Linked DNA regions of Mus musculus. The protein of the gene in region 1 purifies or fractionates together with the protein of each later gene. This does not show direct contact. Links are inferred from orthologs where the notes say so. Each region holds a gene or a part of one and is shown in the gene's direction. Other genes may lie near its edges. The genes, in order: Casp8, Nlrc4, Nol3, Birc2 and Tnfaip3.

The links.
Region 2: the proteins of Casp8 (region 1) and Nlrc4 purify together in Homo sapiens (affinity purification with western blotting; 3 studies listed by BioGRID and IntAct, with this or other methods). This does not show direct contact. The link is inferred for Mus musculus from reciprocal best matches to the Homo sapiens genes CASP8 and NLRC4.
Region 3: the proteins of Casp8 (region 1) and Nol3 purify together in Homo sapiens (affinity purification with western blotting; 3 studies listed by BioGRID and IntAct, with this or other methods). This does not show direct contact. The link is inferred for Mus musculus from reciprocal best matches to the Homo sapiens genes CASP8 and NOL3.
Region 4: the proteins of Casp8 (region 1) and Birc2 purify together in Homo sapiens (affinity purification with western blotting; 4 studies listed by BioGRID and IntAct, with this or other methods). This does not show direct contact. The link is inferred for Mus musculus from reciprocal best matches to the Homo sapiens genes CASP8 and BIRC2.
Region 5: the proteins of Casp8 (region 1) and Tnfaip3 purify together in Homo sapiens (affinity purification with western blotting; 3 studies listed by BioGRID and IntAct, with this or other methods). This does not show direct contact. The link is inferred for Mus musculus from reciprocal best matches to the Homo sapiens genes CASP8 and TNFAIP3.

The regions. Positions count from the first base shown.
Region 1 is NC_000067.6:58,841,512-58,847,373, forward strand, and holds part of Casp8 (caspase-8), read left to right. Parts: intron 1-2,832; coding exon 2,833-3,334; intron 3,335-5,110; coding exon 5,111-5,243; 3' UTR 5,244-5,862. UniProt on the Homo sapiens protein: Thiol protease that plays a key role in programmed cell death by acting as a molecular switch for apoptosis, necroptosis and pyroptosis, and is required to prevent tissue damage during embryonic development and adulthood.
Region 2 is NC_000083.6:74,455,195-74,461,786, reverse strand, and holds the start of Nlrc4 (NLR family CARD domain-containing protein 4), read left to right. Parts: upstream 1-2,678; 5' UTR 2,679-2,781; intron 2,782-3,092; exon of another isoform or gene 3,093-3,182; intron 3,183-3,193; exon of another isoform or gene 3,194-3,321; intron 3,322-6,592.
Region 3 is NC_000074.6:105,278,381-105,283,735, forward strand, and holds the end of Nol3 (nucleolar protein 3), read left to right. Parts: intron 1-590; exon of another isoform or gene 591-593; 5' UTR 594-595; coding exon 596-890; intron 891-1,035; coding exon 1,036-1,395; intron 1,396-1,514; coding exon 1,515-1,522; 3' UTR 1,523-3,559; downstream 3,560-5,355. Other genes in the region: 4931428F04Rik (uncharacterized protein KIAA0895-like), read right to left, coding at 3,600-3,764, 4,607-4,704, 4,795-5,100.
Region 4 is NC_000075.6:7,832,619-7,839,246, reverse strand, and holds the start of Birc2 (baculoviral IAP repeat-containing protein 2), read left to right. Parts: upstream 1-2,189; 5' UTR 2,190-2,257; exon of another isoform or gene 2,258-3,021; intron 3,022-3,202; exon of another isoform or gene 3,203-3,867; 5' UTR 3,868-4,768; coding exon 4,769-5,742; intron 5,743-6,628. UniProt on the Homo sapiens protein: Multi-functional protein which regulates not only caspases and apoptosis, but also modulates inflammatory signaling and immunity, mitogenic kinase signaling, and cell proliferation, as well as cell invasion and metastasis.
Region 5 is NC_000076.6:19,004,306-19,010,167, reverse strand, and holds part of Tnfaip3 (tumor necrosis factor alpha-induced protein 3), read left to right. Parts: intron 1-1,832; coding exon 1,833-2,023; intron 2,024-2,838; coding exon 2,839-2,986; intron 2,987-3,134; coding exon 3,135-3,305; intron 3,306-4,436; coding exon 4,437-4,617; intron 4,618-4,836; coding exon 4,837-5,711; intron 5,712-5,862. UniProt on the Homo sapiens protein: Ubiquitin-editing enzyme that contains both ubiquitin ligase and deubiquitinase activities.

The DNA.
Region 1 (5,862 bases):
TCACTGACAGTACTCCTCAGGGAGGCAGGCAGAGCCTTGGGTCTGACAAGAGAGCTCAGGAAACAGCAAGCTGCTCACCTCTGCTGACTGTACCTCAGGTGGCCCTAAGTGTTCCTGGAGTCTAGCAGGCCTCCTTCTAGGGAAGGGAGGCAGAGCCATGGGCTTGCCAATGTCACAGAGCAAAGCTTGTCTGTAGTTGTGCCCCAGGTGGAATCAGCAGTCAGAGGATAGGTGAGGTAGGGTCTAATCTGGGTGTTCCTGGGGACCTACATGCCTGGATGTTCCTGAGGCTGGGCAGGTCTCCTGGAGAGGAAAGGCCATGGTGCTGGGGGCAGGGGAATAGGAGGAGTGGACACAGCATGCAGCTCACCTCTCTATCAAGCATTTCTTATTCATTTTATTTATTTATATTTCTTACATATCTATTTTCTGCTGTTTCAAAAAATAGGTTTTAAAATCAAAGTAATATATTCATCATGATAAAATGATAGCTTTCTTTTTTTGTTTTTGTTTTTTATTTTACTTGTAATTCATTTTTTTACACTCCATATTCCATTCCCGGCCTCTCCCCATCCACCCTCTGACTGCTCCACATCACACACCTCCTCCCCACCCCACCCCATCTCCACATTCCCCAGCTCATCTGACCTCTATACTCTCTGGGGCATCTAGTCTCTTGAGGGTTAGATGCATCATCTGTGAATGAACACAGACCTGAAAGTCCTCTACTCTATGTGTGTTGAGGGCCTCATATCAGCTGGTGTATGCTGTCTGATTGCTGGTCCAATGTTTGAAAGATCTCATGGGTCCAGATTAATTAAGGCTGCTGGTCCTCCTACAGAATTGCCCTTCTCCTCAGCTTCTTTTAGCCTTCCCTAATTCAACAACAGGGGCCAACTGCTTCTGCCCATTGATTGACTGCAAATATCTGCATCTGACTCTTTCAGCTGCTTGTTGGGTCTTTCAGAGGGCAGTCACGATAGGTCCCTTTTTGTGAGTATTCTATAGCCTTAGTAATAGGGTCAGGCCTTGGGACCTCCATTTGAGCTGAAAATGATAGCCTTCTAACATTTATAATGAAGAGCATCAATGAACTTTAAAATTTTTTTAAATTTTATTTCATATATATATATATATATATATATATATTTCTATGTATGCCCCTTTGTGTGTGTGCATATGTGTGTGTGTATACTTGTGTGTGTGTGTGTGTGTGTGTGTGTGTATGTTTGTGTGTGCGAGGGCCTTTGGATCCAGAACAGGACAAGTTCTATGCAAGAGCAGCAAGGACTCTTAACCACTGAGCAATCTCTCTAGCCCTGAGCTTTACATTTAACTCAACTAAATGAAAAATATTTCTGGAGAATGAATTAGTCAAAACCAATTGCTATGGTATCCTACTTACTCTGGGTAGTTTGCTCATGAAAGTTTCTCAATTGCAGCAGGAGTTGTGAGCTCCCAGCAAGATGCTAAACTAGTGAGACCTGCCTTGGGGCAGCCTACTTATGTTTATACTGAGAGCTGACAAGTTAAATGGAACAATATTCATTTATAAGTATACAATATACCTATAACAAGTATAAGAATACAGAAATGGGTGCCGGGCATGGTGGCGCACACCTTTAATCCCAGCACTCGGGAGGCAGAGGCAGGTAGATTTCTGAGTTCGAGGCCAGCCTGGTCTACAAAGTGAGTTCCAGGACAGCCAGGGCTACACAGAGAAACCCTGTCTTGAAAAAAAAAAAAAAGATACAGAAATGGGGCTCAAAGATGGCTCAAGAGCACTGACTGCTCTTCCAGAGGTCCTGAGTTCAATTCCCAGGAACCACATGGTGGCTTACAACCATCTGTAATGAGATCCTGTGCCTTCTTCCCGTATGTCTGAAGACAGCTACTGTGTTCTCATATACATAAAATAATTCCTACCAATTCTTACCAAGAATTCTTTCTCCTCTCAATGTCCCACCTTCTCTTTCCTGCCTAAGCCATAGGCCATAGGCTTTTTAATTGACAGGTAGTGCATCCATACAATGCACATAAGATGCTCTCTCTGCAGGTGACTCAGTAGTTAAAAGCACTGACTGCTTGTTCTGAGGCTTCAGATTCAATTCCCAGCACCCACATGGCAGCTCTCATGCTGCCTGTATCTCCAGTTCCAGAGGAGTCACTCTCTTCTTCTGGCACGCACATACATGCGATAAAAGCACTCGTACACACAAAATGATAATGTAAAGCATTTAAAATACATGGACAACAATAAACATATGCAAGGTTAAGACTCAGGAAGTCAGACCAAAAGAAAACACTGATGGAAAATGGGAACAATAGGAGTTGAAATGGAGAATACTGGTCACAGATGCCAGATCTGTGACCATGAGAGCCATAAGACAAAGACAAGGAAATGGACCTGTGCAAGAAGTGAGTGTACGTTCTCCAGTCTGAAAGCGCTTGTTGCATCTTTGAGATTGAGAGGGAGGGGTATGGACAAGTCAGATACGTAGAGCAGTCACAGATCAGGATATCACTGAATTTCATAATAGCAGATCTGGAAGCTAAAAGATGAAAATTCAGAGGAAAGGGGATTTTGGAACGAATGCTATATCTAGCTAGACTGTCAAAAAGAATGAGAGTAGAAATGAATCCTCATGGTGCAAGAACTCAGCAAAGTTCCAGCTGGCAGTACACAGCACTTTCAGCAGGCAACAATAAACATAAGGAGCCTGTACAATCCGATTGGTGGTGATGCAGAAGGACCGCTCAGGTTCTGGTTCTTGCCTACAGGCTGTGTTCTGGGAATGATTGTAATTCATGGTTTCCCATCTTACTTTTCAGAGGCTCTGAGTAAGACCTTTAAGGAGCTTCATTTTGAGATAGTATCTTACGACGACTGCACTGCAAATGAAATCCACGAGATTCTAGAAGGCTACCAAAGCGCAGACCACAAGAACAAAGACTGCTTCATCTGCTGTATCCTATCCCACGGTGACAAGGGTGTCGTCTATGGAACGGATGGGAAGGAGGCCTCCATCTATGACCTGACATCTTACTTCACTGGTTCAAAGTGCCCTTCCCTGTCTGGGAAACCCAAGATCTTTTTCATTCAGGCTTGCCAAGGAAGTAACTTCCAGAAAGGAGTGCCTGATGAGGCAGGCTTCGAGCAACAGAACCACACTTTAGAAGTGGATTCATCATCTCACAAGAACTATATTCCGGATGAGGCAGACTTTCTGCTGGGAATGGCTACGGTGAAGAACTGCGTTTCCTACCGAGATCCTGTGAATGGAACCTGGTATATTCAGTCACTTTGCCAGAGCCTGAGGGAAAGATGTCCTCAGTAAGTTTGGCCTCCTGGGCCCCTCTCAGGGTTATGCTTCCTTACTCATTTCTGTGGTTAGAGCCCATTAGAAGGTGCTTTATGGCCGAGATAATATATACTAAGCAGAGAAGTAGCCATTGGCATGTTCCATCTCTGAATGTCTAGCTGTAGCTGACACAGTTGTATTTCCCAGGTCAGTGGCAAAGTGGGAGAGATGGCACGTATTGTTCTCCTTAGTTCATAGATGGGAAAAGAATATGTTTACTGAAGAGTTTCCTTTATTTAGCAACCGAGGTACCACAGAGCCAGAGAGGTTGCTAATACCACACAGTCCAGCTCTGTCTTTGGGTAGTAACTGACTAAGGCAACTCAACCCCTTTGGGGAGTCTTCCCAGATGGAAGCAAACCACTATGTTTAACATACCTCACCTTTGTCAGAAGCCATGTTTTAGAGCTGGCAAGATGGCTCACTGGGTAAAGGCACTTGGTTATAAGTCTTATAACATGAATTAGATCCCCAGAGGCCTATATGGTGGAGAAGACCAACTCCTTCAAATTGTCCTATGACCACCAAATGTGAACCATGTCATGTGCCTGTGTGAATAAGTAAATGTAATTTTTAAAAGTTAAGAAAGAAATCCTCTCCAATTGCTATCTAGCCTTGAATCTTCTTAGCAAACTATAACCGTACTGAAGAGCAGGGGACCTCTATATCTCTACTAATTTGACCTGCTAGGAATCCACAAGTGTGGGATGATAGCCCTGTGGCATATGGTTCATCTCCAGTTAAATTAGGGCTCCATACTTCAGGTTCCCTCCCACTTACACCTGGCTGATAGCTGAACAATGAGGAGCCCTTCTACGGGCTCCTTTTACATCTCTGTCTTATCGTCTGGTGTCTGAAGAGTGAGAATTTCCCATGGCATGTGGAGAGTAGACAGGAACACCATCGCAGTGCTTTCATTTTGTAACACAGACCCTGAGTCCTACAGGATCCATGTCAGCTATGCAGATTGATGAAGAGGTTGCTCCACAAGATTGCTCAGACTGCTGGTGTCAGAGATGGGGAGGTAGCTACGGGAAATGCTTAGCCTTTACTTGCCTACATTTTAGTAGAAATCTGTGGATGATCCTGTAGGAGCAATGCTGATTTAGGCAGAGGGTACTGGGGGAAGAGAGGGAGGCATTTGTGAGATCCAAATGGCAACATGGGAAACATGGAGGAACACATAGGTTAACAGAGAAGGAAAGCAAATCTGATAGGAACTCTGGTTTCTTGTAACCAGCAGAGATTCCAAGTACACAAAAGTAACTCTGTGTGCTCTGAGAAAACTGAGTTGCCAGAACAGCGGTGAGAGGTCTTGATTCAGTGACTTTCAACTGCAAATGTCCGATGCTCTCTCTGAGAGACAGAACTAGAGAACCTACCTCAGGCACAGCCAGTGAGGTGGTGGGCACAGCCAGTGAGACAGTGGGCACTGCCAGTGAGATGTGGGTGGCACAGCCAGTGAGACAGTGAGCACAGCCAGTGAGAGGGTGGGCACAGCCAGTGAGACAGTGGGCACTGCCAATGAGACGTGGGTGGCACAGCCAGTGAGACAGTGAGCACAGCCAGAGAGAGGGTGGACACAGCCAGTGAGACAGTGGGCACTACCAGTGAGACAGTGGATATAGCCAGTGAGACAGTGAGCACAGCCAGTGATACGGTGGGCACTGCCAGTGAGACGGTGGGCACAGCCAGTGAGACGGTGGACACTGCCTTGTCCCATATGCTTACGCTGCTTTCTTTTTCAGAGGAGATGACATTCTTAGCATCCTGACTGGCGTGAACTATGACGTGAGCAATAAAGACGACAGGAGGAACAAGGGAAAGCAGATGCCACAGCCCACCTTCACACTACGGAAGAAGCTCTTCTTCCCTCCCTAATGATGTGTGCTCTCCACAGTTCACATGGCTTATCTGTGCACTTTTGTGTGGATGAGTCTAATTTATTTTTTAGAATTTCTTTTGCTTTTGAATTTACATTTACATAATTTTCCCTTTTCTTCCCTTTAAACCCTTCTTTGTTATGTTCCAATTTCAAATACATGGCCTCTTTTCTCATTAACTGTTGTACACACACATACATACACACACACACACACACACACACATTTCTAAATATAACCTGTATACTATCACTTGTATGTATGTTTTGTTTTGCTTTTTTTAAAAAATGGAGCGACCTTTGGTAGGCCAATCACACTCCAAGGCAGGTCCCTCTCCCAAGAATAGTTGGGCAATACAAATTGGCTTCCATGGGTTCACCTTTAATCTCAGCACTCTGGAGACAGAGGCAGGAGGATCTCTGAGTTCAAAGCCAACCTGCTCTACATAGCAAGTTCTGAGATAGCCAGGGCTACACAGAGAAAGCTTGTCTTGAAAAAAACAAAAAAGAAAACTTGAAGATGCATGAGTAAGAAAGCAAGACTGGAGCATGAATCTGGTTAACAGAATGGGTGAATGACGGGAGCAGGGACCTGGGGCAAGTTAACAGAGGGGGTGA
Region 2 (6,592 bases), on another chromosome or scaffold:
TTATTTTGGTTTTTTGAGACAGGGTTTCTCTGTATAGCTCTGGCTGTCCTGGAACTCATTTTGTAGACCAGGCTGGCCTCGAACTCAGAAATCCACCTGCCTCTGCCTCCCGAGTGCTGGGCTTAAAGGCGTGTGCCACCACGCCCGGCGCGTAGCAATTTTTAAAGTAATTTATATGGCTGAAGTTTGTTTGTGATGGCTGAAGCTATAGTAAAAAGTTTTTGTGAATGTTTATTAGTATTCCATTTGTATGTTTACTTTTATTTTTATTTTTATTCTGCACGTTTTGACTGTGCATATGTGTCTTCATGTTGTGGTGACCCCCAACCATAAAATTATTTTTCTTGCTACTTCATAACTGTAATTTTGCTACTGTTATGAATTGTAATGTAGGGGCTGGTGAGATGGCTCAGTGGTTAAGAGCACTGACTGCTCTTCCGAAGGTCCTGAGTTCAAATCCCAGCAACCACATGGTGGCTCACAACCATCTGTAACGAGATCTGACGCTCTGAAGACAGCTTCAGTGTACTAAACATAATAAATAAATAAATCTTTAAAAATAAAAAATTAAAAAATTAATTGTGATGTAATCTCTTATATGTAGGCTATCTGATGTGTGACAGCCCCCCTTCCCCCCACCCCATAAATGGTCGTGACCCACAGGTTGAGAACCCCTGAGCTGATGTATGGGTACTCACATTGGACATACATGGCCAGCTAAATTAATATGTCAGAATAGGTTAATATGTCAGAATATGGGGGGGGGGTTGTTTTGTTTGTCTGTTTGTTTCTGAGACAAGATCTCTCCATTATGTAGTTCTCCTGTCTTGGAAATCACTATGTACACCAGGCTGGCTTTGAACTCACAGAGATCTGCTTGCCTCATTTTTCTAGAATGCCTGGCTTAGAATGTTCTTTTTAAAACAAGTAGTTGTGTAACATTAAACAACAACAAAAAAAAACCTACAACAAAAATTAAAACAGTCTCCAGCAATTTGTGCAAAGACAGAGGAAAGAGTTGACAGAGAGCACTGTTGACAGAGAGCAGCGAGGCCTCTCTGTTTCAAGCTGAGTATGTCTTAGCTTTCTAGTATATTCGGGGATGCTGAGTATGTGTATGTCCGCTCAAGTCCCTGGCTTTGTGAGTTCAGAAGAGTCTCATGCATTATCAATCGTGTGGACACCTGACTAGCCTGGGCTAACTTGCCCCGACCCCAGTGACTGAGAGTACAGCTTTGCTGGAAACCAAGGTACAGAGATAAGTTTGTTTGCCTCTGTCCTCAGTGACAGTATGCTTGAACCAACCAAACCAGAACATTTCACTTTCCATCTTTTCTCTGTCCACCTCTTAATCCCCATTCATTATGAAAAAACCGAGTGAGGCATAGTGGCTCATGCCCACAATCTTCTTAGAAGGCAGAGGCAGGAGGATCAGAAGTCCAAGATAAGACAAGACATGCAAAAACCATACTGAGTGTCTAAAATACCAGAATTAAGAGTCCAGACAGAAGCTGATCAACTGATTAGAACTTTTTTTTTAAAGATTTTTATTTACATGAGTACACTGCAGCTGCCTTCAGAGACACACTAGAAGAGAGCATCGGATCTCATTACAGATGGTTGTGAGCCACCATATGGTTACTGGGAATTGAACTCAGGACCTCTAGCAGAGCAGTCAGTGCTCTTAACCACTGAGCCATCTCTCCAGCCCCTTTGAACTTCTTTATTATCCACTTCTGTGTCTGACCTATCGGGCAAAAACCTGTGGGATTTATTAACAAAGCTGGGTACCAGCTCATAACAACCCAGATGGCTCAAGATGGCCTCAGATCTGGAGTCTTTACCAAGGCTTTCTTTTCTTTGCTACAACCTGCCTACCCAATGTTTCCACCAATGTATTTGAAATTATGTTGATTGATGACTTTTTTGTTGTTGTTGTCCTGTTAATATAAAAGCTTCCTGAAACTAAGTAGTGATGTGCCTTTAATCTAAGCACTCAGGAGGCAGAGTCAGGTGGGTCTCTGTGGGGTTCAAGGTAGCCTGATCTATACTGGGAGTACCAGGGTAGCCAAGGGTACGTAAAAAGAGTCTGTCCCAAAACAAAACAAAACAGAATAACACACACACACACACACACACACACACACACACGCACACACGCACACGCACACACACAACCTTCATGGAACAGTTGCTGCTTTTGAACTTTGAGTACCCTGTCTTCCTGGGCCTTGTCATTCAAAGCTTTCTCATTCCCTTTGCTTGGAGAAATAAACAGTTGTTAACTCTTTTTTTTTTTTTTTAAATGCAACATACCTTTTAAAGATTTATTTATTCATTTTTTTTTTAATGTATATGAGTACACTGTTGCTGTCTTCAGACACACCAGAAGAGGGCATCAGATACCATTACAGATGGATGTGAGACACCATGTGGTTACTGGGAATTGAACTCAGGACCTCTGGAAGAGCAGTCAGTGCTCTTAAAGGCTGAGCCATCTTCCAGCCCCAGTTGTTAACTCTTTACCACATGAATAACCAGGAAGCAAAGAGTGCCTAAGTTCAAAGTCCCTACTTCCTGGCTACTCAGTCACTCCTTTTTCTTGCTACGTAATTATGTAAATACCCCGATTATTATGGTTCTTAAGCAAGAGAAGAACCCACCAGGCACTTCCTTTTTTCTACAGTTGTCTCTCATGGACAAAGAAGTTTGGATTAAGAAAGAAAGAAAATTACTTTTAAGACGACTTTTCCTTCGAAGGCAACTGGATTGCTTGGCCAGGTACCTCGGGGAGAGGGAATAGGTTTTTAAATCAGTTTTAGAGTCAGATCCTGAAATTAGAATTTAGGTCCACTGAAGCCTGTGTCTGTGAGGTTGTCCTGCAGTGGATGGTTTGCCCATTGGGCTGATTTGCCTGCAGGGAAACTTGGTTTGAGGGTAGGCAGTGTTGGGGGCGGGTGGTTAGCCTGGTTGGTCTGTTGGAGTTTAGCTGCGTTTTTCTGAGTTGGTGTTAAGGATTTGGAGCCCTAGAGAACGCCTTTGTATTTACTATGGAGACAAAAAGACTTAGAAAATGCTTTTTGGCCTCACAGGAAGGAAACCCAGAGCTGAGGGAGAGAGAGACTGCTTGGTCCGTCCAGTGTCCTGAGCCTCTGACAAGATACTTGAACTTGGACAGAAAAGTTAAGCAAGTCCCTCTTGGGGATAGGAAGAATGCTTATAGAAAGTGTGTTACAGACCTGCGTTGTGTGCTGAGGTGTTTCCAGCCCCAGTGTGTCTAGGAAGTGCTTTACAGACTTGAGTTGTGTGATAACAGATAAGGTGTGTCCATTCTTTATCTCAGAGCATCTTAATAACCCCGTTGCCGGGGTGGAATCAGGCTCTCCTAACTTCCCTTAACCTCTTTTATTCTTCCAGTCTCCCATTACTCCCACTTGTGCCTATAGACAATTTTCATACACTATTTACATAGCACTAAGAGTATTCAGTGAGCTGCGGGTGTCCAAAGGAGATCTAAGAAGATTCTAGATCAGGACATTTTTATACTGGAATGATAGATGAATCACAGGGACTGGTGGCCTCTGTTCCATCCGTCTTCCTGGTTAATCATCGCTATAGTCCCAGGCTTGGAGCAGATGTGAGTGCTAACAGTTCAGCAAAGGAAGCATAATCCAGAGGCAGGGGAGATGCTCAGGGGGAAGGGGCACTTGTCGCCGAGCCTGTTGACCAGAGTTTGATCCCTGGGACACAGATTATTCCAGGAGAGAACTGACTTTTGCTAGTTTTTCTCTAATCTCTACACAAATGCCGTGGCACTCTCGAGCACCCCTACCCACCCACCCACCCACCCACCCACACACACACACCAATCAACCAATGTGAAAAAAATTTACACATGCTGCCTTTCTGTAGCCAATTATATGAGTTCTTTCCCCCTAGTTGTGGGAGTGACACACGAGACGTAGGTCAAGAAGGATTTCAGTTTTCTGAGGAACTCACATCACGATCTGAAAGAACATTATCACTTAAGCTGGATGTGGGAGCTCATGGCAGTCATCTTCACACTGAGAAGGCTAAGACCAGAGCGTTACCATGAGTCTGAGACTAGACTGAGCTAGACAGTGAGTCCCAGGCCAGACGTGGCTATGCTGTATGACCTTGTTTCAAATAAGAAAGAGAATCTTATTTGCCAAGGCATGAACATAAGAAAAGGATCGCTTCCACACAATTCCGGTATTTTGGGTGGGTAGGAAGATTTTCAGGGCATGACTCCAAATCCAGATGGTCAAACTGGTCACAACTCCACCTTGTTTTGAATTGTATGTATGTATGTATGTATGTATGTATGTATGTATGTATATATGTATGTATTTGGTTTTTGAGACAGGGTTTCTCTGTGTAGCCCTGGCTATCCAGGAACTTAACTCTGTAGACCAGGCTGGCCTCGAACTCAGAAATCCACCTGCCTCTGCCTCCCAAGTGCTAGGATTAAAGGCATGTGCCTGGCTTGCCTTGAATTTTTAAAGAATTAATTTTTGTTCTTAACAATTATTTTTAATGTGTGGTGGTGGTGGTGTGTGTGTGTGAGTGTGTATATGTGTGTGTATGTGTGAGTGTGCGTGCATGCATGTGTGCGGGTGGGTGCACATAAGTGCAGATACTCATGAAGGCAGTTGTGAGTTGCCCAACATGGGTATTAGAAACCAAACTCAAGTCCTCTATAAGAGCAGTTTGATGGTTTGTACCTGCTTAGCTCAGGGAGTGGCACTATTAGGAGGTGTGGCCTTCTTGGAATACGTATGGCCTTGTTGGAGTAGCTGTGTCACTGTGGAAGTGGACTTTAAGACCCTTGCCCTAGCTGTCTGGAAGCCAGTATTCTGTTAGCGGCCTTCACATGTAGAACTCTCAACTCCCCCTGCACGATACCTTCCTGGATGCTGCCATGCTCCTGCCTTGATGATAATGGACTGAACCTCTGAACCTGTAAGCCAGCCCCAGTTAAACATTGTCCTTATAAGAGTTGCCTTGGTCATGGTGTCTGCTCACAGCAGTAAAACCCTAGATAAGACAAGCAGTATGTGGTTGGGTTTTTTCCCCCTCTTTTAAACTTTAAGTATTTTCGAGGTTATATTTTAATTACGTTTCTCCCTTCTTTTTCTTCCCTGTAAACCTTGCCATATGCCCCTCCCTGCTTGCACTCTCTCTCTCTCTCTCTTTCAATTTATAGCTTCCCTTTCATCAACTCATATCACATGCAAAGGTGTACTTATATATACATTTATATTCCCAAATATAGCCTGTTGAGTCGGTATGTTACTTGTATGTGTATCTTCGGGGTTAACCATTTGACGCCGACCATTTGATTGTCCCTAGGACAGGCTCCCTGCTTTACCAGGTTGTCTGTAGTTCTTCCTGTAGGACTGAGTCCTCATGGGCCTGCCACTCCCAGATCCAGTCCCCCATGCAATTTGGCTTGTTCGTTGGTGTCCTCCTTGTTCAGTTCATGTTTGGGAGGTGGTGTTGGTGAGACTCTATGGGTGTAGCTTCTGACATTACTAGAAGACGCAATCTCCCAGTAAACCCCTGATCCTCTGGCTCTTACAATCTTTCCACCCTCTTGTGGGTCTGTGTATCTGAGGCTTTCCATGGAGATCTCTGGCCCTGCCAGGTGCGAGGGTTCAGGCCCAGGGGAGAGAAGGAGAGCGGGGAGGGGGAATTGCCTCTGCCTCCACCTCTGCCTCTGCCTCCGCCCCCACCTCCGCCTCCACCTCCACCGCTTCTCTTCCAAACAAAACAAAACAAAACAAAACAAAACAAAACAAAACAAAACAAAACAAAACAAAACAAAACAAAACGCAACGCTGCACCAGCTCTGCTCTGAGTCGGGCCCTCACTGGCGGGAGGCTGACTAGCCAGCGAGGGATTCGAGGGAGCTTCTGCTGGCATTTCGGGAGAGCAGGTGGTCTCTTCCCTGGCGGTGGTGTTTCACAGCTCTTATGAAAGACACTCTCAGAAGAGTAGTTCTCACACACCTTTATTCCTTCTGGATAGGATCCTTAAATACAGTTTTGGGACTAGTCAGGGTCTGACAGCAGGTACTTCCAATTAGCTTGGTCTGAGAGCTTGCAGATACCTTGTCTACATGTCGGAGGGCTCTAGGTGCTGCCCCTACAGGATTGATGGCCACCAACATCTCTACAGGGTGGGTGTAGGGCTGTGGGAGGCTGTGGTTACGTGACAGAGGCTTGGTTCTGGGAGCAGGCAAACTCGTCCTGTTCCTTCAGGGTCTCTGAGGCTTCTAACCTTAGCTCAACCTTACCAGGTTTCCTCTTACAGTCCACTGCCCCACATCCCCTCTTATAAGATTTATTTCTTTTATCTCAAGTGTTCTGCATACTTATCTCTCTCTATATATATATTGTGCATGCCTGATATTCTATGGGGCGGGAGGATCCCTTGTAACTGCAGTTACAGATGTGAGTGTTGGGAAGCAATCCCAGGCCCTCTGCAGGAGCCACAAGTACCTGCTGAGTCATCTCTCCAGCATCCTCAGCCCAGAGATCCAGGCTACGAGCTTTCTATTTTCAAAGCA
Region 3 (5,355 bases), on another chromosome or scaffold:
ATCTCTCAAAATTAAAGTTCAGTTGTGCTACGATAACCTGGAAGAGTCCCAAGACTATGTTGAGGCTGCGGACGGTGGTGAATGAAGGGGCAAGGTTCTGGGATGCCTGGACCTCCGTGTTAGGTGAATGGAACACGGGTGCCTTGGCCCTTCGGGTGCAGACCCGATTGTATGAGCGATCAGGCAGGCTGCCCTTGATCCAAGGTTTGCTGCAGGGGCGAGGAAGAAGGTATGAATCAAGCCTAGGGTTTTCTGCCTATTTAGGTAAGGAATTGGGTTCAGACAAAATAATTCAGTTGGATAAACTGGGTCTCAACTGGTAGCCAACTGTGCAGGTGTCTGGGGCTTAGGAGGGAGGGAGGTCCTAGCTGGGAAGAGCACTCCACTGACAGGTGGAGTCTGCAAAAGAAACCTGAGGAATCAGGACAGAAGCAGCCAAGAAGCTGGAGGGTGCGTTCTGGGCCCCTGGCCTCTAGGTCTTGCGCTGAGCAACCATCCAGACTCTGATGTTGAGGTGAACTTAGATAACTCCTGGTCAGCGTAGAGTAACGCAAATTACGCCCCGCCCCCTTCTCTCCTTCTTGACACAGCAGAAATGGGCAACGTGCAGGAGCGCCCATCAGAGACCATTGACCGGGAACGGAAACGGCTGGTAGAGACATTGCAGGCTGACTCTGGGCTGCTGCTGGATGCGCTGGTGGCCCGGGGCGTCCTCACTGGGCCCGAGTACGAAGCCTTGGATGCGCTGCCCGATGCAGAGCGCAGGGTGCGCCGCCTACTGCTGTTGGTGCAGAGCAAGGGCGAGGCAGCCTGCCAGGAGCTACTGCGCTGTGCCCAGCAAACAGTGCGCATGCCAGACCCGGCCTGGGATTGGCAGCACGTGGGGCCCGGTGAGCACCAAGAGGGTGGAGCCTTGATGAATCGAAGGGCGTGGATTAGGGGCAGGGCGAAGCAAAGGGTAAATGGAGGGCAGAGAATTTGGAGGTAACCACAGAGGGGTGAACTGAACCTCAAGTACTCCCTCTTCCTTCCCAGGCTACCGGAACCGCAGCTATGACCCTTCATGCCCAGGCCACTGGACGCCAGAAGCACCCAGTTCAGGGACCACATGTCCTGAGCTGCCAAGAGCGTCAGAGCAAGAGGAGGTCGGAGGTCCTGAGGGCTCTGAGGCACTGCAGCCTCGAACTCCAGAGGAGCCAGAACTAGAAGCTGAAGCTACTGAAGGGGATGAGCCAGACCTGGAACAAGAAATGAATCCAGAACAAGAGCCGGAGCCGGAGCCCGAGCCAGAACCCGAACCCGAGCCCGAGCCGGAACCCGAGCCCGAGCCAGAACCCGAGCCCGAGCCGGAACCCGAACCCGAGCCCGACTTCCAAGAAGAGGATGAATCTGAAGGTTGTGAGAGCGCCTAAACCCTTGCTTGCAGGCTTGTTACGGGTTGTGGACTGCAAAGTGTGTGTGTGTGGGGGGGGGGGGTTGATCCCTATTCCACTAACCATCATTTTCATCTCCAGATTCCTGAAGGCCAGAATCCTTAGCTGTCCAATCCTATTTGTGCTGGATAAGACCTGGAAACCTGCCAGAGCTTGACCCCATCGATGCACCGAGACACCTACTGCCAAATGAATAAACTCAGGAGGGTCAGTCTGTTCCTGACTCTCCACAAGTCTGGCTCTTTGCTCAAGAACTGAGGGTGAGCGTGGGTCTGAATCCCACTGACCTGAGCAGGCTTGTGTGAAAATACCCCCATCCCCTCAAAAACATTCCACTTCCCAAAGAGCCCAAGCTGTAATTCTGGAGATCTCAGATGCAGGCCCCCAAATCTGACCCTCCCTCACCCACTTTATTCCCCTCAGGGGCCATTTGGGAGGCCGAGTGGGCAACACTTCTAATCCATGGAAATCACTCGGCTTGGTGTACCAAGCAAGTGAAGGGGGATGTCCATCCACACATGGAGAGAAGTCTTGGCGCTCACAGTCTTGCAGGGAGGACCTGAGAGGAAACTTGAGTAGACAGAAGCCACACACATCATTGTAACTGCTGTTTAATTGTCTGGCTTTCCTCTGAACTGGGAGCTCAGTGAGGGGCGTGGGGTCTAACCAGTCACAGACATACACAAGGAGCTCTGCACATATCTACTAAGTAAATGAATACAAACTTCCCAGCTGTGTTTCCAAGCTTCACAGATGGAAACATTAACTGAAAAGCCAGGGTTAGGACAGTACTAGCTCACTCTCCCACCGCTGAATCTGAAGTGAAATGAAAGCCTTAACCAGCTCTGTACTAATCCTGGCCTGAACGTGGGATAACAAACCCTAGGGCCTGCCCTGTAGGTTTGATTGTGGTTGCTCCCGCCTGTCCTAACCACTGCCAGAGACCAGCTGTGAGGCTGTGGTTAAAGACAGGCACAACCAAGACTAACATGGGGACTGAGGGTGGGACCAGGTGCTGGACTCACAAGACACAAGACACAGTGTGTCTGTGTGAGTGATAAGAAAGGGGGTCTAGGGGGCTGGAGAGATGGCTCAGTGGTTAAGAGCACTGACTGCTTTCCCAGAGGTCCTGAGTTCTACTCCCAGCAACCACATGGCGGCTCACAACCATCTGTAATGGAATCTGATGCCCTCTTCTAGTGTGTCTGAAGACAGCTACAGTGTACTCGTATACATAAAATAAATAAGTCTTTGAAAGAAAAGAAGGAAGGAAGGAAGGAAGGAAGGAAGGAAGGAAGGAAGAGAGAGAGAGAGAGGGAGAGGGAGGGAGGGAGGAAGGAAGGAAGGAAGGAAGGAAGGAAGGAAGGAAGGAAGAGGGAGAGAGGGAGGAAGGAAGGAAGGAAGAGGGAGAGAGGGAGAGGGAAGGAAGGAAGGAAGGAAGGAAGGAAGGAAGGAAGGAAGGAAAGAAGGAAGGAAGGAAGGAAGGAAGGAAGGGGTCTAGGAACATACGGTACTTTTCCAAAGGATCCTGCCCCTACATGGAACTACTACTACTACTACTACTACTACTACTACTACTACTACTACTACTTCCGGGCCCCGCCTGGAGGCATGAAATGACCCCATGAGGGCGACTATGGAACAATGCATGACCAGTGAGACAGACAGAATGCTGAAAGGCAAAGCCCAGCCCAGCTGGGTCTCTGAGCCTGAGTGACAGCCGGAACCCCATGCTCAGGCAAATCACCTCAGAGGGGTTCCCAACTCCTGCTGGCCCCAGTGAGAGGTAGAGGTATGAGTGTAGAAGGAGCACCAATCGGCCAGGTAGGGGGAAGGGAAGGAGTGGTACCAGACACCCAAAGCCATCTCATGCAGGAACAAGTTTCTATTCCCAAACCAACCCACATTTCTATTCACACTCAGCTCCCATCTCATCGCCCTCCCATCTCCCCTGCTCAGGAGTTTATGTGACATGCTGCTGCAGTTCACAGGCCCCAGGAAGGGTAGCAAGGACAAAAACCTTCTAACGTTGCTTCTCATCTGCCCACGATGCTCCTGGCCTCCCAAATGCCCCCAAGAAACACCTAGGCTATGGAACCATAAAGAACTTCATATTCCGATCTGTGACCTCTGTCAAGAGCGTCTGTCTATAACCCTTAGTCAACATCAGTCAGGCAGCAGGCGGCCCAGCTCCGCTTCATCCAGCCGGTTGGTGGTCATGATGTGTTCCAGCTGCTGCCGGTAACGTTCCAAGTCCTTCATGAAGTGGGGCACTCTGGTATTGTCTAGCACCCCGTAGGGCCGCAGTTGTTCCACGTCTTCATAGGAGACCTATAGGAAGCAAACTGAGCCTCAGAGCTAATCAAAGTGCCTGGCTTTCAAGTCCAGGATCTACCCATGGCTCAGGGCCATTTGCTCCTGAGATGATTGTGTATATTCTTCATCGACTCCTACAATAGATACCTTCAGGCTCTGCCCTGGATCTTCTATCTTTCTCTCTCTATCTTTTATCTACGTTGTACAACCCATTCCTCTCCAGCCCACCTTATCTCCTCACCTCTAAATGGTATCCAACTGATACCTGGGTCTCTCTCTCGGGTTATCTCCCACATCCAACAGGAGACTGTTGAATGTCAGCTGTCTGTCCTCCCCTCTGCATAGTCACCACAATCAGGTCCAAGAAAGGCCGACTAGGTTCTCATTTCCCCATTCAGGGAGTCCAACAGTTCTTTTATCTGTAGTTTATAGCTTTGCCATTATCAATTCTGTAAGAGTGATGGAAGACCTCCTTCTCTTGCCTATCTAGGTCTTCCATTTCCTGCACTTCCCACAGAACATTCAGTTGGAGCCTTTTAAAGAAAATCCATGCCCACACATTTACGATACTCCCCCCCCCCCTTTGCTTCTATCGAGGTTTGCCTCAACCTGGTACAAGACCTGGGCTTTGGTCCCTGGCCATTTCTCCCACCTTCTTCCCCAGAACTTCTTGACCTCTCCCTGCCTTGGAGTGCTCACCTCCCTTAACACCTATGTACACATCTGCAGGCTAGGTCACACACCTGATCTGTGCTACCAAAACTTTGTCTCATTTTGTCTGCCTTCCCAAGTGTCGAGGCCTTCACCAAACATAACTCTAAAGAAGAAAGAGCTGGCTGGGCCTTTCGGCCCTTTACCTTGCCCAGCGAGGTCAGCAGCTGGAAATCAATGGTGTGCCGGTGCCGTAGGATGCGCAAAATGCCATCCAGGTACACCTGGTCCTTGCTGAAGCAGCCTGTGAGAAGGATAACCAATCGAGCCTTACCCAAAAGCCACCCTTCACCTTGCGCCAGCTTGAGCATTCTTGCGACTCCACAGTTCCCACCTGGCTGGGAGGTATCCGTCTGTCCTCGCTTGGCACGGACGCAGTACTCCCAGCGTACACCCTCGTCCTGCACGTACTGCGCCAGATCCTGGAAGAGCTGGCGGAAGGACATGTGCGCCGCCTGGTGGATGGTGTAGTAGAGCAGGGCGGCGCGCCACAGGAATGGTTGCTTTCGAAACAGCACACTATGCAGGCTAGCCAGGCCCTCCTCAGTAGGGTTGGCTGGCTGAAGGCCGTACTGCAATCTGCCTTCAGTGCTGTGCCACGGTTGCCGCGAATTATTCACACCACGCAGGTAGTGGGTGCCTGCAGGGAGGAGGAGGAGGAGGGGGCGGAGAACTCACTCCAAGGACCTCTAGTAGAGACTCTTAGATCCTCGTGCCCCGCCCCAAAATTCACACCCTACAAGTCATCCCAAGCCCTACCTAAATCCATTCGCAGCCTACTCCAGACAACTTCTTGGTTCAGGGCAAGCTCTTCTCTACTTACGTTCTCATCTCCTTCGTCCCAGTTCATTCTGTGTGCCCCAGCCCTCACAGATACTAAGCACCTGCCCGCTTC
Region 4 (6,628 bases), on another chromosome or scaffold:
AGGTCAGAAGAGGGTGTCAAATCCTTTGGAACTCTAGTTACAGATGTGAACTAGGATGTGGATTTTAGGAACTGAACAAGGGTCTTGTGTAAGAGCAGCCAGTGCTCTAATTACTATCTCTCCAGCCCCTGGTTTTATTATACAATTTATGTTGTAGAAGTCTTTTCAATCATATTTTTCTTCAAAAGTGTCTTTAACTGTATACTTTTTTTAAAAAAATTATTTATTTTATGTATATGAGTACACCATTACTCTCTCCAGACACCCCAGAGGAGTGCATCAGACCCCATTGCAGATGGTTGTGAGCCCCATGTGGTTGCTGGGAATTGAACTCAGAACCTCTGCAAGAGCAGTCAGTGCTCTTAACCACTGAGCCATCTCTCCACTCTGAACTGTATACTTTTTTGTATATAAAATGAAAGATGTCATGATAACCACATCAGTATATGTATATATGTGTATTATATAATAATAAAATATATTTTTCAAAATTACCAAACTCTACATGGGCAATAGGGAAAGTCTTAGTTGAATTAATGGTCAACAAAATAAACAACTGGACTCCAAGATTATATATTATAAAAGAAGTAATAAGTTCTAAAACGTCTGAGTTTTGGGCATTGAAAATTTCCTAAATACTGAAGTAGGTCAGGACAAGAACTGAGAGAGACATATTCTTGAATTCAATGTGCACAGGCCCTGCTAGATTCCCACACATATTAGGAATGTTTTGTGTAACTTTCCAAGAAGTAGTGACTTGAACAAGGCATTGGCACATGTGTACCATTGGAAGTTTAGTCACTGGGAACCTTGGCACGTCTTTTCTGTGTATCAGAAACTGTCATGAATACTTTCTTTTTATTATCAGCATTTAGACCAGAAGACTGCCTGTTCTGTGACTGACCGACTTGCAGCAGAAATGACGGGAAAGAAAATGGGAAACGGTTCAGGGTCCCGGAATTCCCCTGGCAGCCTAATTTAGCGGTCTGTTTTACTTCTAAGTTTTTAAAATATTTGCCCATTTAACATGGAATTCCCCCGGAGAGAAGATCTGATTCATTCGTTAAGACCTTCAAGTCTAAAGTAAATTAAACTGTAGAAACCTCACTGGTAGTAGCCTACATTTCTAATCAGCACACTGGAGGCTGAGGTAGGATGCTAAATCCTCGGCTAGTCTGGGCCCTACAATAAAATCCTTTCTTAAACAAACAAATAAAAAAACTGCAAAACTAACCATAACAAATCATCCAAGCCAAACAGGGCCGCGGGGGTGGGGGTGGGGACATCAGAAAGTCCTACCCTGAATGCTAATGATTTTGCAGCACTTTCGGTACGGGAAAGGCAGCAGAGGGTGGGGGGTGGGGAGACAGACTGCTAGTGAACAATGAAGTCAGGGTTATTTTTCCAGTTTTAAACGTATTCTTCTACAATCTCATCACAGATATATAGTGCGCTTTAATCATACTCTCTCCCATTATACTGTTAACCCTTCAATGCCTTCCTCCAAACTAGTCCGCAGCCTTTTCCTTACTTTTTAAATTTATGGCCTGATGCGCTTAATTTGGGTCGCCTGCAAGAGCACTTTTTAAAAAAAATAATAATTTAAAAATGCATAACTACCTCCTCGCCCCAACTGGGTTTGAATTTCTAGGATTCGAGGTGAGCGCCACCATGCCGGCCTGCCAGAGGAGCCCACTTGTCAAAAATGTTAAAGCCCATCTTACAAAAAAACCAAATTATATTTAATGTACACGCACACGCGTGCATTCCGCTTTACTCAGGCGTTTCGAGGCCAGCTCACGAGCCTGAGCCGCCTTACCTATGACGCCACGTTTGCCTTAGTGCCTGTCTAGGACCCTTGCAGGGTGAGGCCGGAAAATACAGGGAGCTAGGAGGCGCGGCTCAGGGCTGCCGCCATTAAAGGTGCACTGCAGGTTAAAACACATGGCATCAAAGTCCGGAACGCCCAGCGGAGGCAGTGGGGCAAGGACGGACGCTCGGGAAAGCCTAGCCTTATTCGTCCGAGTCCCAGCGGCCCGAACGTTTAGCTTCCAAAGCCCGAGCACGCAGGCGCGAGCGCAGGCGCAGGCGCGCGCGACTGGCCCACAGCCCCACCCCGTCCTCCACGCGTTCCAACTTGCGGTGCGCGTCTGCTGACGTCACCTCAACGGCCCGCTGGCCGCAGGGGCTTTTGGGAAGGCTGCGGATCAACAATCAGGCGCCTCTGCTTCCAGGGCGCCGGGGGCCTGACTCGGTGGTGAGTGCGGCTGCCTTCGTCAGGACGGGCGAGCGTGGCTCTCGACGGCTGGGCGGGCTAGCTGACTCCTCCTTCGGCCCGGAAGGCAGTTCTCAGGGCCGCCCGACCCCCGCTCCCTGCCTAAGTCCTTGGGCTTGGACTTGTATAACAGTTTTGCTTTCTTTTCCTTTCGGTTTATTTTTTCAGTCAACCCAGGCTAGTCTCGAATTTGCGGCAATCCTCCTGCCTCCAATCGTTCTAGGTGCTGGGATTACTGGTGTGCAGCACCTCGGCTGTCTCTTCAGATTTTCTGCAGGTTTTTAAGCTTTAAGCCCGCGGCATTTAATGCCTTTAAACTAAGTTGTGCGGCAGGGGGATGACGGTTGTCACATCAGTTACTACTTGTCCCCAGTAGTCGTGTGAGAGGTTTGGTTTAACTGGGAAAGGTGTTCTCCATTCTTGTCTCTCCAAGCTACGTGTCGCCCCCCTGCAGTGGGCGTAGAGCCGTGTCGGTTGGGTGCTTGCTGGCGTTGTAACAGCTAGTGTAGTTAGGCCACACGGGTAGTGGTAGCTTTGTTCAGGCCACTGCTTTACCGGCACTTGTACTTTTTTGGTTTTGAGATGTTACCTGTGGTGGTTAGGGAATGGTTGTCCTTCACGGATTCCGTTTATGAGCTCTTCCCGGTGCCTTTATCTTGGCTAATTTAGCCCTGGCTAGTTCAAATGTTCTGTCCGGCAGGAGCGTTTCATTCCGCATCTGTCTTCCAAGTGTTGAGATTAAAATTGCAAGTATACCTCGGGAATCCTCAGGAAATATTTATATTTTAATATAATAGAAAATATCGTATATATTATTTATTTTATATTGTATTATAACTTAACATATGTTTATGTGTATAAATATATTTTATATGTACTTATATCTGTATTATATATTTCAATTAAATGTTTTAATAGAATATAAAAGTATATATAATTTTTTTCTTGTGATTAAACTTAGGGTTCTTTACCTGCAAGGCAAGTGCTCTAACATGGAGCTATATCAGTAGCCTTACAGACTACCTTTCCACTATTTATGGTGCCTTTTGTCTCCAGTGAAGTGCATATCAAAATATCTTTAAATCAGAAAACGAAAAGAGCCTGGTGGTAGTGTGGTCCTAGCACTTGGAAGGCTGAAGCAAGAGAATTCCAAAAAGTTTTAAAACCAGCTTGGGTTATATTGACTTTCTAGCCAGCCTAGTCTACAGAATAAGACCCTGTCCCTTAAAAAAAAAAAAAGTTCATGAAGTATAGTACATTTTTTTCTAATAGTAAATAAATAATATATAAAAGGAACAAACTTGAAAATCGGGGGCCAGTTTTTGACAAATGGAAATGTCCATTGTTTTCAAAGTTTTAATTTTTAAACTATACTGAGCTATGCATTTTAAAGACAAGCATAACTAGTACTTTGAGAATGCTTTTGCAGTGGTGTGTTTTGATTTAGACCCTTTCTAAGTAGACTGGTTGGGTGAGGAACTGCTGTAGTCAAGATTTGTTATCTAGAGTGTGTCATTTTTAGACATTACTGAATAAATTGATGATGACAATTCTGTGTAATTAGTTTTCTAAAATATTTTTTTTTCTTTCAGATTGATAGTCCTCAAGAGTCTTCATGTTCTCTTATGTTTTTCTAGAAATCAGCCCACTCATGGACATCTGAACATTTCTATAAGACGCTGCGGTTTGCTTTGCAGTGTGTTCTTGTGTATGATTAGTTATATAAAATACGAAGTTTTCAAAAAGAAGGCTAGTGCAACAGAAAAGCTTTGCTAAAACAGATTCTTAGTTATTTGAGGTAACAAAAGAAAGCCATGTCTTGAATTGATTCGTTCTTAATTATAACAGACTTATAGTGGAAAGGGCCTTAAACACAGGCGGACTTTATAAAATGCAGTCTTAGGTTTATGTGCAAAATACTGTCTGTTGACCAGATGTATTCACATGATATATACAGAGTCAAGGTGGTGATATAGAAGATTTAACAGTGAGGGAGTTAACAGTCTGTGCTTTAAGCGCAGTTCCTTTACAGTGAATACTGTAGTCTTAATAGACCTGAGCTGACTGCTGCAGTTGATGTAACCCACTTTAGAGAATACTGTATGACATCTTCTCTAAGGAAAACCAGCTGCAGACTTCACTCAGTTCCTTTCATTTCATAGGAAAAGGAGTAGTTCAGATGTCATGTTTAAGTCCTTATAAGGGAAAAGAGCCTGAATATATGCCCTAGTACCTAGGCTTCATAACTAGTAATAAGAAGTTAGTTATGGGTAAATAGATCTCAGGTTACCCAGAAGAGTTCATGTGACCCCCAAAGAGTCCTAACTAGTGTCTTGGCAAGTGAGACAGATTTGTCCTGTGAGGGTGTCAATTCACCAGTCCAAGCAGAAGACAATGAATCTATCCAGTCAGGTGTCTGTGGTGGAGATCTAGTGTCAAGTGGTGAGAAACTTCATCTGGAAGTTTAAGCGGTCAGAAATACTATTACTACTCATGGACAAAACTGTCTCCCAGAGACTCGGCCAAGGTACCTTACACCAAAAACTTAAACGTATAATGGAGAAGAGCACAATCTTGTCAAATTGGACAAAGGAGAGCGAAGAAAAAATGAAGTTTGACTTTTCGTGTGAACTCTACCGAATGTCTACATATTCAGCTTTTCCCAGGGGAGTTCCTGTCTCAGAGAGGAGTCTGGCTCGTGCTGGCTTTTATTATACAGGTGTGAATGACAAAGTCAAGTGCTTCTGCTGTGGCCTGATGTTGGATAACTGGAAACAAGGGGACAGTCCTGTTGAAAAGCACAGACAGTTCTATCCCAGCTGCAGCTTTGTACAGACTCTGCTTTCAGCCAGTCTGCAGTCTCCATCTAAGAATATGTCTCCTGTGAAAAGTAGATTTGCACATTCGTCACCTCTGGAACGAGGTGGCATTCACTCCAACCTGTGCTCTAGCCCTCTTAATTCTAGAGCAGTGGAAGACTTCTCATCAAGGATGGATCCCTGCAGCTATGCCATGAGTACAGAAGAGGCCAGATTTCTTACTTACAGTATGTGGCCTTTAAGTTTTCTGTCACCAGCAGAGCTGGCCAGAGCTGGCTTCTATTACATAGGGCCTGGAGACAGGGTGGCCTGTTTTGCCTGTGGTGGGAAACTGAGCAACTGGGAACCAAAGGATGATGCTATGTCAGAGCACCGCAGACATTTTCCCCACTGTCCATTTCTGGAAAATACTTCAGAAACACAGAGGTTTAGTATATCAAATCTAAGTATGCAGACACACTCTGCTCGATTGAGGACATTTCTGTACTGGCCACCTAGTGTTCCTGTTCAGCCCGAGCAGCTTGCAAGTGCTGGATTCTATTACGTGGATCGCAATGATGATGTCAAGTGCTTTTGTTGTGATGGTGGCTTGAGATGTTGGGAACCTGGAGATGACCCCTGGATAGAACACGCCAAATGGTTTCCAAGGTAATTGGTTCTTTTGTTTGTTTTCAAGTCTGGGTTTCTTGGAGTAGCCTTGGCTGTCCTGGAACTCACTCTGTAGACAAGTCTGAACTCAGAGATCTACCTGCTTCTTCCTCCTGAGTGCTAGGATTAAGGGTCTGTACCACCACTGCCAGCCTTGATAATTGGTTCTTAAAAATGTTTATTGTGGCATGGAGGATTGAACCCAGGGCCTCATATCTGGTTGACAAGTTTTCTTGCCTATATACCTTACCTCTTAATTTTTATTGTTTAGAATAAATTTAGGAACACATTGTTAGTGTATTACAATTAGAAATTTTGTATTTGAAACTGATCAGCTATGTGAACTTGGATTCATTTCTAAAATGAATGGACGGTGTTAGTTGTTTTTATTGTGTTAAAATACACATAAAATATACTAATTTAGCCATCTAAAATTTAATCTTCTGTAGTATAAAGTATATGTGTACTGTTTTTTAGTCATCTCCAGACTGAAACTGTATCCCATACACTTGTAAGCACACCCCTGGCACCTACCCTTCTGCCTACGATATCTGAATCTACTTTAGTTACCATAGCCACAACACATGTAAGTGGAATCATACAGTAAAGAGATCTTGGACATATGCATGCCTTCTGTGATAATGAGGAATCATTGGACTCCTTAGGGAATTACAGGAACTTTTAGTCATTTTTTGTATGGTACATGATGAACAGGAATTTTGATGTAACTATTTACATTGTTAAAATATAAGTAGTTTAAAATTATATGATGGGACAGGTAGTGCACCTATGTCAGTTTGCCTTTAATCTCACCGCTGGGAGCAGAAGCATGCATTCTTTGTGAACAGAGACCAGCCTGGTCTACAGAGCAAGTTCAGGTCATCTA
Region 5 (5,862 bases), on another chromosome or scaffold:
GACAGTTTGTGGTTTTTACCACGTCCCATTTTGTTACAAAAGGAGAGATGGAGCTGAGAGAATTAGAAATGGGGTAGAGAGAAGAAAAGCCTTATTTTATTTGCCACTCATAGAATTAGCAGACATTATATAGTATTTCCTTAACAGAGGAAATATCTAATTTCCTGTAGAAAGAAAATGCCATGTAAATGCTAAACACTTCCTTGGCCTTTGAATCAGCAAGGATTCACACTACAAAACCAAAGGTATTTTGGTAACTTGTTGGGCCAAGGAATTCTAATTTCTTTGAAGAAAAGTTATGAAAAAGAAAGCAAGTATTTTTTAAGGGGGGGGGGGTGGGGGGAAACAAGTGGCTTTCTTCCCATTTGATTATTATTAGCATCTTTTCTTTCCTTTTAAAAACCCCTCCCCTCCAGGAGGCTTTCTTCAAAGGCCGGCCTGTTTGGGGAGGGGGGGAGGGGGTAGGGGGGTTCACACGTCTGCATTTGAGGATCTGAGACTGTGGTAGATGAGGAAGGGAGTAGGTGGCATAAAATTGAAACTTCATGAAAATTCCAGCGTCTATTGGCCGCGGCAATTTCACTTGTATAGTGAGTAGCCCGTTCCAGCTCAGCCTGACCACACCCACTTGGAAAGTCCAGGGTGCAGTTCACAGTTTAAATGTCTACACACCAGAACAAAACGTACAACAACTGTTGCTCAATTGCTAGTCAAATATCTTCGCACTGGGGAATTCCACATGTTACTTAGGGAATTTTATACTGGTGCATCTCAATAAAGAACTGAAAGTAAGCCCAAGAAGAAGAAGAGAAAAAAAAAATAGCCTTATCTTTGCTCTAGATTTTGCAAAGGGGAAATTTCAACAGAATGTAGCCCTTGCCACACATCGGCCTAGACACTAGGCTCTAGTGATCTTTTCTGTTCAGTAGTTTGGGAAACTGTTTGAAGCATGCACGATGAAGGAGCAGTGACCCTGAATATGGATTTGACAGGTTGTTTACTATATTTAGAATATGATGGAATTTCAAATAGCTTTATTGCCTTACTGACTGAATAGTATTAAATACACACACACACACTTTAAACTTTTTAAAAATTAAAATTATGTAATACTTTCCAAACAAGAATGAAGAGCGGACTAGTTTTATACTAAATGGTTTCCCCAAATGTTTACTCTTTGGGGCATGAAAAGGAATGCAGTCTGGGACTGGATGTAGCTCACTGGTAGAGAGCCCTGGCCTGAGATTCCTCAGAATGCACTGGAGGCTGGGGCAGGGCCTGCATTATTTGGTACTGTCATTCCTACTTTATAAGCTAGGAGAGGAAAATCCCAGGTCCCCACAGCTAAAGTGGAATGGGCATGTCACGTACCACTGAGTCATAGTCAGACCAGCCCTATCAAGTAGGCCGAGCCACAGTGGTTTCCTGGTGTATATAATGCCTTGGACGGCAAAGCTTCCGTAGAACTAGAGAATAGTGGTATCAAGGCCTTAGCCAGCAAACCAAAGATTACCAGGAAGAAAGGACTGTAGTGTTCATAAGCTGGTGCCCTCATCCCACAAGTACACAAGAAAAGACTTTCAGGGATGTTCCCATATCATACAGACCAGTTAGGTGCAGAGCCATGCTACAGTGGAGGCTGGTTGGCACCTCCCACTGCTGGCACCAGGCACTACATAGAAGAATGAAAAGCTTCCTTATAGAATGTTATCAGCTGGTTAAAAATCAACTTTACAGTCCCCAGCAATGGTCTTAGTGTCTCCTGATAACCTTGGAAGGGCATTTGCTTTGGGCTGCTTAACCTTGCTCCTCACAGCTCCTTCTGTCCTCAGGTGATGGAAACTGCCTCATGCATGCAGCTTGTCAGTACATGTGGGGTGTTCAGGATACTGACCTGGTCCTGAGGAAGGCCCTCTGCAGCACCCTTAAGGAGACAGACACTCGGAACTTTAAATTCCGCTGGCAGCTGGAATCTCTGAAATCTCAGGAATTTGTGGAAACAGGACTTTGCTACGACACTCGGGTATGTTTTGCTTTTGTGTGGCAGCCCTATCTGTGGTGGACAAAGGCTACTCTCGGCCAGTCCCTGTTCCCTGAGGAACATATGACTTACTAAGTCATATGAGTCGACTTAAGCATTGCCCACTCAGTGGAAAACACCAAGAACCTTCTGTGGGTTTAACCCGGGCTTTAACCACTCTCTGAGCTAAATCTGGACAGCTGATTCCTAGGTAGGCGATTCTATGTCTTCCAACCTCCTCTTGAGAACTTCCCAGAGTTTCCTGGCTTAGCTGAGCCAACCAGTACTGGGGAGAATGTACCTCGTAATCTTCAGCCACAAGCTGGGAATGGTTCTGAACCAATGGAAGCAGAGCTTCAGGGTCGTGGATGTTCTGTTTGTTTTTGAGCTAGGGTATCATGTAGCTCAGGCTGGCTTTGAACTTGTTATGTAGCAGAAAATGATCTTTCTGCCTCTACCACCACAGTGCTGGGATTGCAGGCATGCATCGCCATGTGATTTTAGGTGGGGGAATCAAACCCAAGACCATGCTTGTTAGGCAAGCATTCTTCCAACTGAGCAACTCTTCCAACTGAGCTAGCCTCAGCACCCCCAGTGGGGGATTGTTATGAAAGCAAATGCTGTCTGTATCTCCCTCCCATCAGTTTTGAGCTTGCCCAGCAGTTGAGAAAAGTAAAGGAACCAAACCAAAATTGGGGCCGAGGATGAACATTCTTTTGATGAAGAAGCGTGAATGGAGTTTCTACAGCAGACAGATGCCGAGTGAGCGGCCTCTGAGTGAGTTGTTAATCCATCCCTCCTATGTTCTCTCCCCTTAGAACTGGAATGACGAATGGGACAACTTGGTCAAAATGGCATCAGCAGACACACCTGCAGCCCGAAGTGGACTTCAGTACAATTCCCTGGAAGAAATCCACATATTTGTCCTCAGCAACATCCTCAGAAGACCCATCATTGTCATTTCAGGTGAGGTGCCTCAGAGAGTTTCTAGGTTCCCTGGGTGAGTTTCAGCTCTGAGGAGAAACTGAGCCCCCCTGCAGCTGTCAGCCTACAGTGGAGGGAGCATCACAAAAGTCACCTGGGGTCTTATCTTGTTGTCTCTTTCCATCAACAGACAAAATGCTAAGAAGTTTGGAATCTGGTTCCAATTTTGCTCCTTTGAAAGTGGGTGGGATTTATCTGCCTCTTCACTGGCCTGCCCAGGAGTGTTACAGATATCCCATCGTCCTAGGCTATGACAGCCAGCACTTTGTACCCCTGGTGACCCTGAAGGACAGTGGACCTGGTAAGAAAACATCAGTTCCTATTCATGATCCTGATGGATCTTGGAGTTCCAGGCCTTGCTTTTTGTTCCCAGTTGACATTGTTTTGTTTAAGTTCATTATCTTGTCATCAGTCACGGAGGATTAAATATCCCTTCTGTGAGGTGCTTAGAATCAATATCATTTTAGGCTTCAGAGTCTTGACCATATCAGCATCCCTAATCAGAAATCTACATGCTCCCAAGTCAAGTCAGATTCGAGGGTTTGAGATTTTCAGATTAGAGTCAAACATGTTTGGCCCAGTACTGCAATAGCAGTGAACATGCTATCTGTCCCCTTATCTTCTTTGGTGTGACTTAGGAAGTGCATGCAGCATAGTAAACATAGGTTGGACAGTCATGTGTGCATACTTCCACCCCTATTACTACGTGACCCAATTAAGGTGCACAGAGCCTCAGTATCATGTTTGGCACAGAGCAGGTAGATGTTTAGCTATTATTGTAATACCTTAGTGTATAGTGAGCCCTGTGCTAGGGCGCTAGGCAGCATTGTTTCATTCCACTCTCATGGTGTCCTTCTGAGATGTTGACAGGAGTTGTCTTATTTTATTGATGAGGCCATGGAAACTCAGAAGGGTTAAATGACATGCCTAGCTTGACATTGACAAAATCAAGATTCTAACTCAGGTCACGCTGGGAGGCGTGAGAATTTAACCAGTTCAAATCTACTGTCTCTTTGCTGTGGTTACAAAATCAGCTTAGGTGACCATCAACAGATGGATGGACAAAGATACATCCATGATACATATACACAATGGAGTTTTATTCATCCATAAGGAAAAAGAGAATTTTGTCATTTGCAGAAAAAAAGATAGAGCAGGAGATAATTATATTAAACAAATAATACAGACTGAAAAACAACATATTTTTGTCTCATATATGGAATCTAGATTTTTTTTTAAAGGGTAAAAGGCATGATGGAATTAAAAGGCAGACGATGTTGAAAGATGGGGTGGGAGGCAGCAGGATGCTTTCCTACTCTTTATATGCCTTTTGTAGCTTTAAGTTAGAATCATTACATGACCATATCTGCACCATCATTTAGCAGGATAATGTTTTACTCACACATTCTTCTTTTTTTTTTTTCCCCTTCAGAACTTCGCGCTGTTCCACTTGTTAACAGAGACCGGGGTAGGTTTGAAGACTTAAAAGTTCACTTCTTGACAGATCCTGAGAATGAGATGAAGGAAAAGCTTCTAAAGGAGTACTTGATAGTGATGGAGATCCCTGTGCAAGGCTGGGACCACGGCACGACTCACCTGATCAACGCTGCAAAGTAAGCAGGCTCCTTTGACGTGTCCTCCTGGCTGGAGAACCTCTCATGGTGACAGGAAGTGCCTCTCACGAGCACTGGATGTGTCCTGTCATAAGCCTGCATTTTGGTGCTTGGTTATGAAGTTATTGCCACGACTGCATTGTGGAAGTGGGTTCTGGGAGCTAGTGATAAAAGGTCTTGTGTTATTTGGGGTCACTCATTTTCCTCTTTGTTCTCTAGATTGGATGAAGCTAACTTACCCAAAGAAATAAATTTGGTAGACGATTACTTTGAGCTTGTTCAGCACGAATACAAGAAATGGCAGGAGAACAGCGATCAGGCCAGGAGAGCGGCACATGCGCAGAACCCCTTGGAGCCTTCCACACCCCAGCTATCACTCATGGATATAAAATGTGAGACACCCAACTGTCCTTTCTTCATGTCCGTGAACACTCAGCCTTTATGCCACGAATGCTCAGAGAGGCGCCAAAAGAATCAGAGCAAGCTCCCAAAGCTGAACTCGAAGCTAGGCCCTGAAGGACTCCCAGGCGTGGGACTTGGCTCCTCAAACTGGAGCCCCGAGGAAACCGCTGGAGGACCTCATTCAGCCCCACCCACAGCACCCAGCCTTTTTCTCTTCAGTGAGACCACTGCAATGAAGTGCAGGAGTCCTGGGTGCCCTTTTACTTTGAATGTGCAGCATAATGGATTCTGTGAGCGTTGCCACGCCCGGCAGATTAATGCCAGCCACACCGCAGACCCTGGAAAGTGCCAAGCCTGCCTTCAGGATGTCACTCGGACCTTTAATGGCATCTGCAGTACCTGTTTCAAAAGGACTACAGCAGAGCCCAGCTCCAGCCTCACTTCCAGTATCCCTGCCTCCTGTCACCAACGCTCCAAGTCTGACCCCTCACAACTCATCCAAAGTCTCACTCCACACTCTTGCCACCGGACTGGAAATGTCTCTCCTTCTGGCTGCCTCTCCCAGGCTGCACGGACTCCAGGAGACAGAGCAGGGACAAGCAAGTGCAGGAAAGCTGGCTGCATGTATTTTGGGACTCCAGAAAACAAGGGCTTTTGCACTCTATGTTTCATCGAATACAGAGAAAATAAGCGTGAGTGAAATCAGAGATTGCCTCTTGCTGTAGCTGCTGTCTAGAAAGGGCCTTGAACATCAGGAAAGTAGCCTATCTCAGCAATCAGAGCAATTGCATCTCACTGCACCTTTCTCTCTGCTTTTGTACCTGAAAGCAGTAGACAGCAGCT